Linked DNA regions of Oryzias latipes. The protein of the gene in region 2 interacts with the protein of the main gene of each other region in a pairwise test. Links are inferred from orthologs where the notes say so. Each region holds a gene or a part of one and is shown on either strand. Other genes may lie near its edges.

Region 1 (6,166 bases), on a different chromosome or scaffold from region 2:
AAGTCGCTCTAATCACCTAAAGCGGCCCCCACCCGGGGCCCCTTCCCTGCTGTCTTTGAGTGCGGAGACATCTACAGACGAGCCGTGGGACGCAGAATATGAATAAGACGCGGGGTTCACTTCCGGGTTCGAACCCCCAGAGCCTCCGGGCCGGTTAGACAAAAGAACCAATATCAGTTACTAAAGATGAACTTTATTGCTTTTTCCTTAAGTCCAAAACGGCGACTGACCGCGTGTGTATGCGCTCCACACCCTCACACGCGCTCTCCCCCCTCTCTTCCTGCATCGCGCGAGCACCAGTTTCAGCACGCATGCACGCACGCACGCATACACACATGCGCACGCACGCACACAATCACACATCCCAAAACACTACATTTCTTTTCATGCCTGTTAAATATTCTCTGTGGTGTCTTTTAACAATTTCATTACTGTACTTTAGATCACCTGATCTGTTGTGTTTGCAAATACTTGGTGCAAATACACATCATCAGCGGTGGTGGATGTGCCATTACTTTTTATTAATATGTAAAAAAGGATGTCCCTGTCACACGCGCTTCTCATTTTTATGGCACTATTTAAGCACTGGTTGTTGTGTTACCACAACATTTTGATGTGTTTTTGTCCTGTTTCCACATAGTTACCTACAGTCATTAGTTGATGCTTGTGTAAGTCAATTTTCAGAGAATGAAGAGAAATTCAACATATATTCTTATTTTAAGAAGAAAATTATAGCAGAAGGAGTGGAAGAGATGGTTGGGGAGTAACAGAGGAGTAGTGAGGAGGAGGAAGATGAGACAGAGCAGCATGAATGACAGAAGAGAATGAGGAAGACAAAGATGAGACGGCATCTGATGAGGAGGGTCAGTCAGCATGATTGGTCAGAGAAACAAGGCAGAACTCAGCAAAAAGTCTTCCACCTGTTCCTGGACCAACTGGTGAAGTTAGAATTAATGCAGTGTTTTTCAACCAGTGTGCCGCAGCGCACCAGTGTGCCGTGGGAAATTACTGTCATTACGGTAACTGATCTAAAAACATTTTCCATCTCCAGGATATCAGCTCTGTGTTCATCCAATCAGGCCCTGATAAAACACTGAGTAGTTAGGAATATGAAAGATCGTAAAATACTTCTTATCTGCAGTATTAACTGTTTTCTGTAAAGTCCCGCCCCTTTAACTGTCTCCACCAATCATTCTTGGAGGCTTAATCACATGTCATCAGTCTGACCAATCAGAAGTCGTTAAAGTCTTCAATTCCTTGTTCTGATTCTGCTCATAAAGTCGCTCGGTTCCAACAAAAATACCAGCTAAAGCTTGTCTTTAGCGGTGTATCTTTCCACTGAATCTGGTATCAGACCGTGGAACAAGTGAAGAAAAGAAGGAAGCTCAGAGACGCTAGTCTTTCTGCGCTTGGCGGCTGTTTACATCTCCCATGATGCATTGGGTTAAAGTGACAGCGTCTCAGCGCAAAGTGAGTCTCTCCTCTAAACGTCTTGTAACAACAACGAACACACATCAAACAGTTTTTGAATCTTTTAACTTAACTTTTATTTCATCAGATTTTTCTGCCACAATTGTCACAAAATGCATGTGAGATTGCAGAAGGACTTTAGATCAATATAGACTATGAGTTTCTCCTTTTTTTTTTTAAATTGAAAAATTTTTTTTGCTGGTGTGCCGCAGGATTTTTGTCAAGGTTAAAGTCTGCCGTGGCTCAAAAAAGGTTGAAAAACACTGGCCTAATGACATCTACTAGAATCTATAGTAGTATCAACTATAAGTCAATGTTCTAGAAAAAAATCAGTAGGCATTTAACTTTCTGTTGGTTTTCTAAGGGTTGTTTTACTACGTTTAGTAGAATGAATTTTAAAAATGCAGCTCATGGTTTTTGTGTGCCACCCAAGATTTAATGTGGCCCCCTACCGGCCACCCCCATGAAAACTTTCTGGAGGCGCCACTGGGCACTGGACATAATTATTGTTTTTATTGTTTTAGTATCATGTTTCAGTGTTATTATTTATCTGCGTTCTTTTAATTAGAGCTAGATCATTTCTCCTTTGTGGGGTATATTCTGTTCTATTCTATCTTAATTGAGACATTTTACAATGGTCTCTAACGGGCAAACTTGTATTACAGATTGACTCCAAACACTGTTCGTGTGTTTGCATGCAGTGAGTCCCGCTGTCCGGTAGGGGGCAGTGCTGCTCTGTACGTCCATAGTGAACACACTGTGTTGACATAGAAGAAGAGCAGCTGCGAGGATCTCCTGCCGTCAGCTCTTTAGTTGGCTGCAGAATGGAGATGCCTGGCGTCCACCCAGCGGATGATCTGTTTGACAGCATCATTTTAGCCGATGAAAAGCAAGTTTTCTGTATAAACGTTGTTTTATTGGTGGGGCACGCGCTTGACGGCTTAGAAACGTCGTCAGTGTAACATTTATACCTTTATTGTTACATTTTCTGTTCTCTTTTATGTTATTTTCACGATGTTTTCTATTTAAACCGTTTTTGCCTTTTTTTCTGTCGTAAGATGTTGAATAGAAACAAAAAGCATTTCTAAAAATCGTCAGAATGTGTTTGTTTTTCGACCGGTAAAACTTTTCACGATCGGGTGTGCTTTGCGCATGCGCTTAAGTTAACCGTGTGGTTACCGGGTAAACGCCACATTTTGGTAGTAAAAGAATTAGGATGCTCCCCATCAGTGCGTTTCTGGACAACATCTGGTGAAGTCCCCTCACCGGGTTCCGGTCTAACACCGGATGTGGGTTCCGCTGCACGGGGATCATGACCGTCTTCATTAACGCTGTTATTTTTAATTTGCTTTCTGTCCCTCCTCTCCTCCTTTTATTTTAAATTTCCTGCAGAAAACTCCAGTCAATAAAAGAACAGCATTTATTATTGTTTTTCTTTTGTGGTTCATTTATTTTTTTGGAAAGCTGTGGTTCAAATCCCAGGATGTCATGGGAGTAATGTAGGGTTTTCTGCTGACTGTTCTCCAGGTTTCGAGGTGAAGGTTACCAGGAGGGTTTTGAGAAGGGGACTCGCCGTGGTCTGCAGGACGGCCGCCGACACGGAGCCTCCCATGGAGCCAAGCTGTCCTCTGAGGTGAGTCCAGTTTTCGGTCCCCGTGACCGTCTGTCCAGCCTTACTCAGCTGCACCACGTCCTGATTGGATCGTCTCATGCCACAGATCTCCTTCTATTACGGTTTTGCCGTCACATGGAAGTGTCTCCTCCAGCAAAGCACAGATGACAAGTCAAGGTACGTTGCTCGGGGTGTTTCAGGAACTACAAGACGTTTATGAGTCACAGTCGTGTTGAGCGTTCATGTGAATCCAAATCAAGCGTTATTCATCAAAAGGCTCTTTTCACGCTTTGAACAACTCATAGCTTTACAGTTAAACCAAACAGACAAAAAAAGTAAATTAAAACCAACCCTTTATTCTAAAATATCTACAGAGCCTCAAAACTAAGAATCATTTTTTTTTAAAGAATTTAAAGTAGGAAAGTCATGAAATCACACCTTAATCAACTCAAAACAGCTGCAAGCCTTTAAAGAAGCCTCCATCTGAGTCAGAAGCTACACATCCACAGGCAAGACAGCCTTCTGTGCCATTCACCAGGAGGCCAGGCCATAAAAGGGATGAGGGTGCATGATGGGGCATGAAAATGACCCATTAGGTTCTGTGCGTTACACACCCTGTGAACGCCTGTAGAGTGTCCCGCTCCTGCTCCCTACAGTAGAGGGGGTGTTGTGTCATTGCAGGTGCTGGTATGTGTGTGTGGGTTTTCAAAGTGCTGTTGTCGTTGTGCTGCCGTCCTCTTTGCGTTGGACCCTCGTGTCCATGACGGATATTGTGTTTTCCTCGTCCTCCCCCCGAGTGAACAGTGTTTCCTGCAGCACACAGACTGTTGATAATCAGGGAGTTCTTTGGTTTGTTTGTTTTTTCATGTCGCGCTCGTACATTTTCCGTAACGTGAGTCTGCATGCGGTTGGTTGGTGCTGTTCTGATTCCTGTTGGGTCCAGGTGAAGAGTCGAAGCAAATGGTGAAGAAGCTGCTCATTCTAGTGGAGAGAGGATCGCCATAGTCAGGCTTTGTTTTTGCCTCCAGTCTTCTGTTAAGTAGAAAAAGGTGGATTTTACTACAAAACACGCCCACCGGAAGGGTTGTGTGAATAAAAGAATTATTTGTTTTTTAGTCCCTTGTACTTGGTGAGTTTTTTCTGAACTTGCAGTGAGTTTCTGGGTTCAGCAAACTCAGATAAGGATTTCCTCTTTCGTAACTCTTATGGTTCTTGTTCTAGCTGTTTGAAGTGATATTCTGTTTGTCCAAACGGGTTTTATTTTCTCCACTAGAACCTTTTATCTGTGACCAATCCATTGCTGTCCACAAGGGGGCGCAGGAAACCTCTTCATTAATTGAGTGGGAGAGCACTTGTTTTTGGGGTTATTCTGACTGTAGTTCTTATTTCCACATGAGCTTCTTCTGCTGTCTTGTTGCATTCTAGAGGACAAAGGGTGAGGCTACAGGGAGGTGGAGAAGGGCCACCCGTCCCGGATGAGCGGAGGAAGATGGAAGGATCTCTTGTGTTCTGGCTCAGTGTAGATGCAATGACTTCATAAACCTTTTTGTAAGGAAATGCTGAGGCCGAGAGTGGTCTGATGGCATTTACGGCTACTACGCAATTTTAGTTCTGCTGGTTCTGGATCTGGATCCAGAACAAGTTATCCACCTTCAGTCTCTGTGGTTTTGTAGGACTCTGCTAAACTTGCAGATTTGAAACCTTTGGTAAAAATACACACCAACCTTCTAAGGAATTAAACGGACAACAAAAACTGTTGGTTGGAACATGTGCAGTTTTCCATGTAGGTCGGGAATCCCTGGATTCTGAACATTGGTGCTGTGGTCGCCGCTCTGCGTCAGGCAGCATCCCGGACATTTCCCAGCATTGAAGGATTGTGTGGAGTTTGAGTTGAGGCCCGTTCCAGCTCAATGTGTTGTGTCAGCAGAAAGCGCGTGAAGGCCTTGGACGCCGTGCTGGCTTTGATCCAGAACTGTAACCTGGATGATCCACAGTCTGAAAAACTGCAAGATGAGACGGAGAAACTTCGAGCAAAGTTCAGACAGGTATCCCATTTCATCCTGAGTCTTTAATGGTTGCCTTGAAAATTCCTTCCATCTACGTTTCCACTCCTCTTGTACGCACTGCACGGATTTGTTAAAAAATGATTTTTTTTTCTGAAAAAATTCTTAATAAATGAATAAACCAAGTTTAGCTTCAGATGCAACATCACAATGTTTTTACTAGAAGTTCAATGCAGAAAGATTTTAAATGGATTGTAAACATTTAAAAAGTATCAAACAAACATGAACACAACAGTGTTTTAGTTTAATTTTCCTGTATGCTGCATTTGCTTTCATGTAAAACATTTAAAAACATCTTAATGTATGAAAGTACGAGGTACTGCTCTTATGTTGTGAACAGATCTCAGCATGTGCGTCACACAGCGTTCACCTTTGGGCCGTTGTCGTGTCACTCAGTCGCAGCTGTTAAAGGCTCTCAGATGGATGAGTTTCATGTATGAAGTGTAAATAAAGTTTTTGCTGACTGACGTCTGTACGCTGCTGCAGGTCTGCTCCATGCTGAACATTCCCACGGACTTCAGGGACTACATCAAGGTGGCCGAGGGGACTTCGTTCTGAGTTCACAGCTGCCATGCAGAGCCCTGCAGCCCCCTGTTGCTGCATCTAAGGGCTCTCAAGCCCGCCGGCTCGGGGTTGGCCCGCACCGGTTGGAGCACCGTGCCAGGAGAGTTGGCCTCTACTTCTGTGCAGGGCGCTAACCTTAAAAGAAGACTGGTCTGCTCATCACAGACTGGAACATGTTATTTATTCTAGAGAGTGGAGTTGGTTTGATCAGGTTGGTTGAGTTGTCATGTGATGCAGTGATGACAGTCTGTAAATGGGATCCTAATAAATGAAAAGGATTACAGGCTCACAAGGGAAAAGTACAGAGGCACTTCAGCAGGAAGAGTTGTGGGATGAAGAATCTGCAGACTTGAACCCACTCCCGCTGTCTGAAGGGGGAAGTCTTATGACGTTAAAGTCTGATGACTTTTAACAGAAGTTTCATTAAATGATGGGATTTTGCTTTCTGTTGAAATCA
Region 2 (5,919 bases):
ACAAAATGTGCTGTTTTTTTTCTTTTCCCCAACTTTATTGAAACAAAATGCGCTCGTAAATGCACACTGTGCCAGACTCAGATGCAATTATGTTGACCAATCGTTGCTAAATGGTGTAACGTCATTATTTGGGTTGCCAAATTGGTTCATGTGTGCTGACAGGGGGGATCATTAAAGTGCAGGCAACTTTCTTTTGCACAACATTCAGAGCACACTTTGGTAAGGAAGTTCTATGAAATGGGTTGCCAGATTTGGGTCTTTTTTAATTTAATTTTTGTCGCCACTTCGGGGCCCTGCTGGTGACGGGGGCCCTACGCGGCTGCGTAATTCGCGTATAGGGAGGGCCGGCCATGCTTGCTCTGCCTCAAGATATGACGTCATGACACATTGACAGCTTCACACCAAAGTTACACCAACTTAATTGAATTAAGTTGATTGAAAGTAAAATAACTATGTCCGACAACTACGGGGTTATTTTTAAGTTGATTGAACTAAAAAAAAATATTTTCACCAAACTAGATAATTAAGTTAGATCAATGTAAAAAAGTTTAACTTTCCAACTACAGCCCAAATACTCTTTTCAGAGTGTGATGTGTTGTGTTACCGCAAAATTTTGATGTGTTTTTGTCCTATTTCCACAGAGTTGCCTATAGTCATTAGCTCAGGCTTGTGTATGTCAATTTTCAGAGAACGAAGAGAAAGTCAACGTATATTCTTATTTTAAGAAGAAAAGTACAGAGCATGATCCACAGCCAATATTAATGACTGAAGAGGAGGAAGACAAAGATGAGACGGCATCAGACGAGGACAAGTCAGCATCATTGGTCAGAGAAACAAGGTAGAACTCAGCAAAAAGGGCTTGACCTGTTCCTGGACCAACAGGTGATGTTAGAAATATGTTGCCCTAATAATAAAACTGTTTCATGTGTAATTAATCTCAATAGAAATGTCAATAGGTATTTTTATTTTTATTTCAGAACAACTGGTTTCACTTTTTGTTCATTATAGATATGTAACAGTCAAGAGCCGAACACACCAAGCAGACACACCTAAGCATTAAATATAAACACAATTAATCAAATTATCAGTTGTAGGATCTACTAATCTGCCACAGACTGGCGAACTGTCCAGGGTGTCCCCAGCCTTCGCCCACAAGTGGCCGGGATAGGGTCCGGCAGCCCGTGACCCAGAAAGGAACAAAATGGCAGAAGATGAATGTGTGTCTACTAATGATATCTACTAGTATCTACTGCATAGTGGTATCTACTATAAGTTAATGTTGTATAAAATAACAGTAGTAGTATCAGTGGTGATTTAACATATGTTAGTTTTCTAAAGGTTGTTTTACTACGTTTAGTAGAATGAATTTTAAAAATATTGCTCATTTTTTTGTGTGCCACCCTAAGATTAAAGTAAGATTAAAGTTGTCCCCTACCGGCCATCCCCATGAAAATTTTCTGGAGGCGTCACTGATTGCACCAAGACAGGACTAATCTAACTTAAACAGGCCTTTGAACAGACCTGCTATTCACCAAAAGAGGACAAACTACATAGTTACAACAGTGCATATTTTATTGGGTATACATAAGTATAAGCATACATACAGCAAATATACTATAGTCTATGTACATGTGCTAAATACTTTTTCAGACTTAATTGGGACATTTTAAGTTTACAATTTATAGATGATGTATAAAAATTAAACTTCAAGTATACGGCCTTAATTGCAGCATAGACTAATTAATACTACAATTAGTAGTTTTAGCTAAGTGTGGAGTTATGTGTGCAACATTTAAACAAATTAATCCAGGCTTGTCTACAGAGATTATATTATTAATAAAAATTAACAAAAAATATTGAACAAAAATTGTTCAAAATGTAATTAAATCTCTTCTCCCAATAAAAAATGACAATATTTTATCTATAATAATTAACATGTGTAGAGCACATATGCAGTCTGAATTTAAACCATCTTTTTCCTTTTTTTTCTGTTGTCATCAATGTTTTTTGTCATTCTTTGGAATATGCAAGAAAACGACAAATCAAATAAGCAAATAAACATTAAGTAGAAATTCAAATTAAATTAGATTAAACGTCAATATGAACACCAGCATTGTTGTAAAATACATTTTTTTCTTAAATTACATGTTTAAATAAAAATAATATTTTTACAAACTTTGATTGAATATAATATAACATTTCAATAAGAATATTTTCTTTTTAATGTTCCTCTTAATATTTAACATTTTTGAGGCTACGTCGCAGGTTGATGATGTCACCGCGTTAGCTAGCAGCAGGCGCAGAGGCGGCTAAAATGTCTGTAAGCGTTGCTCGTTTTCAGTCCAGTTCCACTCAAAAGTAAACGTTTGTCGCAGAAACCTGCCGTCCGTTTTCGCTCATGATGTCTTGGGTGAAATCCGCGTCGCTTAATAGTGAAGATGTGTTCGACGAAAACGCAGACGAGCTTCATTTACAGAGCAAAGAGTGGACCTCCAACATGAAGAAACGCGTCATGGTAAAAAAAAAAAAAAAAAAGTTAGCATATTATTGGCGTTTATTTATTTATTTATTATTACTTTATTGACTTCTTTTCTTCCGAACAGGACGGATATGTGGATGGAGTTGATGCCGGGGAGGAAGCCTCTCTTCAGGTCGGGTTTAACTTGGGGTTCAAGGAAGGAGCAGCCCAGACTGTAGCTGTGGGTCGACTGCGAGGAATTCTGGGGTAAAATTCACCTGACATGTCACTGAAAGCTATAGATTATGCTCAATTCCCACTCAAGTAAGAGTAGCCTTGCTCCCAAGTACTAACAGAGTAGAAGTAACAAGTAGTAATTCCAGTTTCCACTTAAGTAAATTTGAAAATTAGGTTAAAAACAGCAACTCAAGTACTGAGTAAAAGTAGCTGATTTATAGCGTAAATGATGCAGTCTGACCAAAGAAAAACTATAAATTCTGCTCTTTTCACTTATATTTTGAAATTTCAAAACAGTTTTTCCTTCATTTTATTTGAAACACTGATTTAAAATAGGAAATATGGATCCATATTGTGCTCTGTTTGTCCTAAACCTAATAGACATTCTGCTATAGATTAAAAAAAAGCTGGTTTGCCCTATTTTCTATTTAATGTTTTTTAATCAAATCTGCTTTACAAACGTTAAAAAACAGATTGTCTTTTCAGTTTCAGAAATTTTCAAATGTTATAGGTGTAGTGGGATTTAATCTTTACACTCTTCTCGGCTAATGAGTAATTTTTAATAATAAATAATTGGATTAAAAAAGGTCAACAAGTCTTAGTTCCAATAATAATCACAATTTAAAAAGTGTGGCTAGCACTGCTGTTTCTAAAGCGTTACTTGGGGAGATTTAACTGAAAAAAATAACGTTTTACTGCTAATCTTTATACATGTTTAAAATACACTAATTTCAAGATTTTACTACACTCAGTTTAGCTTTTTCTTGGTTAAAAAAAAGTGTAAAAAATGATGTGTTTGTGACATTTAGCATAGTTGTAATCTGTTTCCTGATTGTTTAGGGGTGAATTATGAATGATTTAATGATTTATAACTTGATATTTTAAAGTAAAGTCAATCATTTTATCCTGACTAGTTGTAAAGGAAGTAGGGAAGCTCTGACCTTCACTGTCCGATGAAGGTCATTTAAGTGTTTTGACGTCATCATCACTTCACTTTTGTTCCTCTTTGACTAAAGAATCCCTCACAGGGTTTTTGTGCAGAAACATCCTGACTTCCTTTGTTGTGATGGTTTATTGAATGCGCTTTTCTGTCCGTCAGACGGCCGCTCCAGTCTTTTCTATGTGCATCACGGCTCCCTCTGTGTCTCCCCGCCACAGGGCGGTCTGGTGCTGGTGCCAGATCCAGCATCCAGAAAGACCAGTTCCCACCCCTGTGACCGACCTCCTGCAGCGGGTTACAGAACACGAAACCCAGATCATGGAGGACATCAGGAAGGCTTTGGAAAATCCCCCTCCGAGTGTGAGTGACGTTTCGGAAAGCATGGACGCTCTCGATGTGGAGCAGGAGGATCCCTCCCTCTGCAGAGATGGAGGAAGTGGACCGTGTTGTAACAAGAGAGATGAAAATATGGATGTGGACAACCCTCACCAAAACCAAAAGATCCGCTCTGGGTCCACCAGCTGTTCCTCCAGCCCAGGTGAAGGTCTACACCTGCTCCTGCAGTGCTGTATGGATTTAGCATCAGAGCTGGGACTGCCGCAGGAGCTGATGGATCACATCCACGAGCTCGGGAACATCGACCGCATGAGCAGCATGTTTTAAATCTATTTACAGACTAAAAGTCTTGCTGGAACATTTTTCTTTCACAAACAGAAATGTGTATAATTTATGAAAGATTACTTTTTCATTTTATGGTTTGTAAATAATGTTTTTGATCATAAATATCTGTTTTGATCCAAAACAGAAGGTGTGTAAAAACAGCGGGGTATTTAAGTTCTAATGCTGAAATTGCGACACGAGGTTTGGTTGTAACCTATTGTTCTAAAAATGGGGAAAGTTTTTATTTTCACCTTTTCTTAAAAATAAATATGTAATTTACATATTTACATATTTATTTTTAGCTTTTTTTTTATAAATGCAAACCAACTGCTAATTTAAAGAGTAGGTTTTCTATCGAGAAAATTTGTAACTTATTTTAGAGCATATAACGGGAACTAAGTTATTGATAAAATATTTTTTATACAACTGTAGAGCTTCAAAAAGGTTTTAGCAAAGTTTTTAAGTATATATATATATATATATATATATATATATATATAAACGATTTTACAAATGAATGTATACAAAAAATATTCCCCACAATGTAAGGCTAAATTAGATATGTACAGATTAAATCAAGCATATACGAGTATAGTTTATAGTTTTGATTTTGAACGCGAAACATCGTATTGTGATTTACTTGGCAGCTCTTTTACGAGGCGCACCTGAACGTGGCACAAGTTCAGTCGCACATCAGTATGACGTCACCCTCGGACCGAACCGTGACCTGCTGCTCCTGCTAAGCTAAAGGGTCCGCGTACAGATGTTTCGCGGGAAGCTCGTTGAAATTTCGCGTTCTGTGCGCCGTTGTGCTGCGGGAGTCCACATTGAGGTGTTGCTGGAACGCACTACATGCGGCGGCATCGAGTTCCCCGCACGGCAGTCGCTCCGGAGAAACGCACGTTTGTGCGTTAAGTTTGCTGCAGCTAGCTGCCAGGCTAAGAGGCTAACCTGCTCCACAAAAGTGAAACAAGAGGAGCTTCGAGGGTTCAACTTTTGAGAGTTTGACTTTAAATTGAATAAAGGTACGTTCATTTTTTAACAATACAGTTTTATGTTTTTAAAATTTGCTGCCCTTAAAATGTAAAATACTTCCTTGCATTTCATTCATAACATAATATTAGGATTCACTTAAGTTAAGTTATTACTGCATTTTTTTTATCTACTTGCCCTCTTTTTGTAAAATAAAACCAATATGTTGAGATTAAAGCGGACAGTTAACATTGATTTTACTTAAACGTTTTAATTTGAAGTTAAACATTTAAATAGGATTAGGTAACTAGGTAACTCCTGTTTCCTTGATTATTCGAATCTCCTAAAGTCTCACTGCATAAAACTATTAAAGCTGTTTTCAAACATAACACATTTAACATTAGTCCATCTCAAGTCATTTATTTTGAACACAATTGAAATTTATTGTCTCCTCTATAGTCATATGATGAATCTGTCCAACAGTTCAGCCCCAAATCCAGTTTTTTGGTGCTTTTTTCTTTTTTTCAATTGTCAATAGTTTGGTCCAAAGTGAGATTTATACTCAGCAGAAGTTGAATGAATGTGATTGATCTCTGTGTCCACTTAAGGCTCTCTAGCCACGCGTGTTTTGAATGTGTGGATATTTAAAGTG

Evidence for each region.
Region 1: the proteins of yae1d1 (region 2) and oraov1 interact in binary tests that used the Homo sapiens proteins (3 or more experiments, as listed by UniProt). The link is inferred for Oryzias latipes from reciprocal best matches to the Homo sapiens genes YAE1 and LTO1.

The regions. Positions count from the first base shown.
Region 1 is NC_019861.2:4,834,291-4,840,456, forward strand, and holds the start of oraov1 (oral cancer-overexpressed protein 1), read left to right. Parts: upstream 1-2,213; 5' UTR 2,214-2,294; coding exon 2,295-2,422; intron 2,423-2,997; coding exon 2,998-3,103; intron 3,104-3,188; coding exon 3,189-3,259; intron 3,260-5,006; coding exon 5,007-5,127; intron 5,128-5,631; coding exon 5,632-5,703; 3' UTR 5,704-6,166. UniProt on the Homo sapiens protein: The complex LTO1:YAE1 functions as a target specific adapter that probably recruits apo-ABCE1 to the cytosolic iron-sulfur protein assembly (CIA) complex machinery. May be required for biogenesis of the large ribosomal subunit and initiation of translation.
Region 2 is NC_019878.2:20,807,861-20,813,779, forward strand, and holds yae1d1 (yae1 domain-containing protein 1), read left to right. Parts: upstream 1-2,258; 5' UTR 2,259-2,398; coding exon 2,399-2,515; intron 2,516-2,603; coding exon 2,604-2,725; intron 2,726-3,853; coding exon 3,854-4,298; 3' UTR 4,299-4,578; downstream 4,579-5,919. UniProt on the Homo sapiens protein: The complex LTO1:YAE1 functions as a target specific adapter that probably recruits apo-ABCE1 to the cytosolic iron-sulfur protein assembly (CIA) complex machinery. May be required for biogenesis of the large ribosomal subunit and initiation of translation.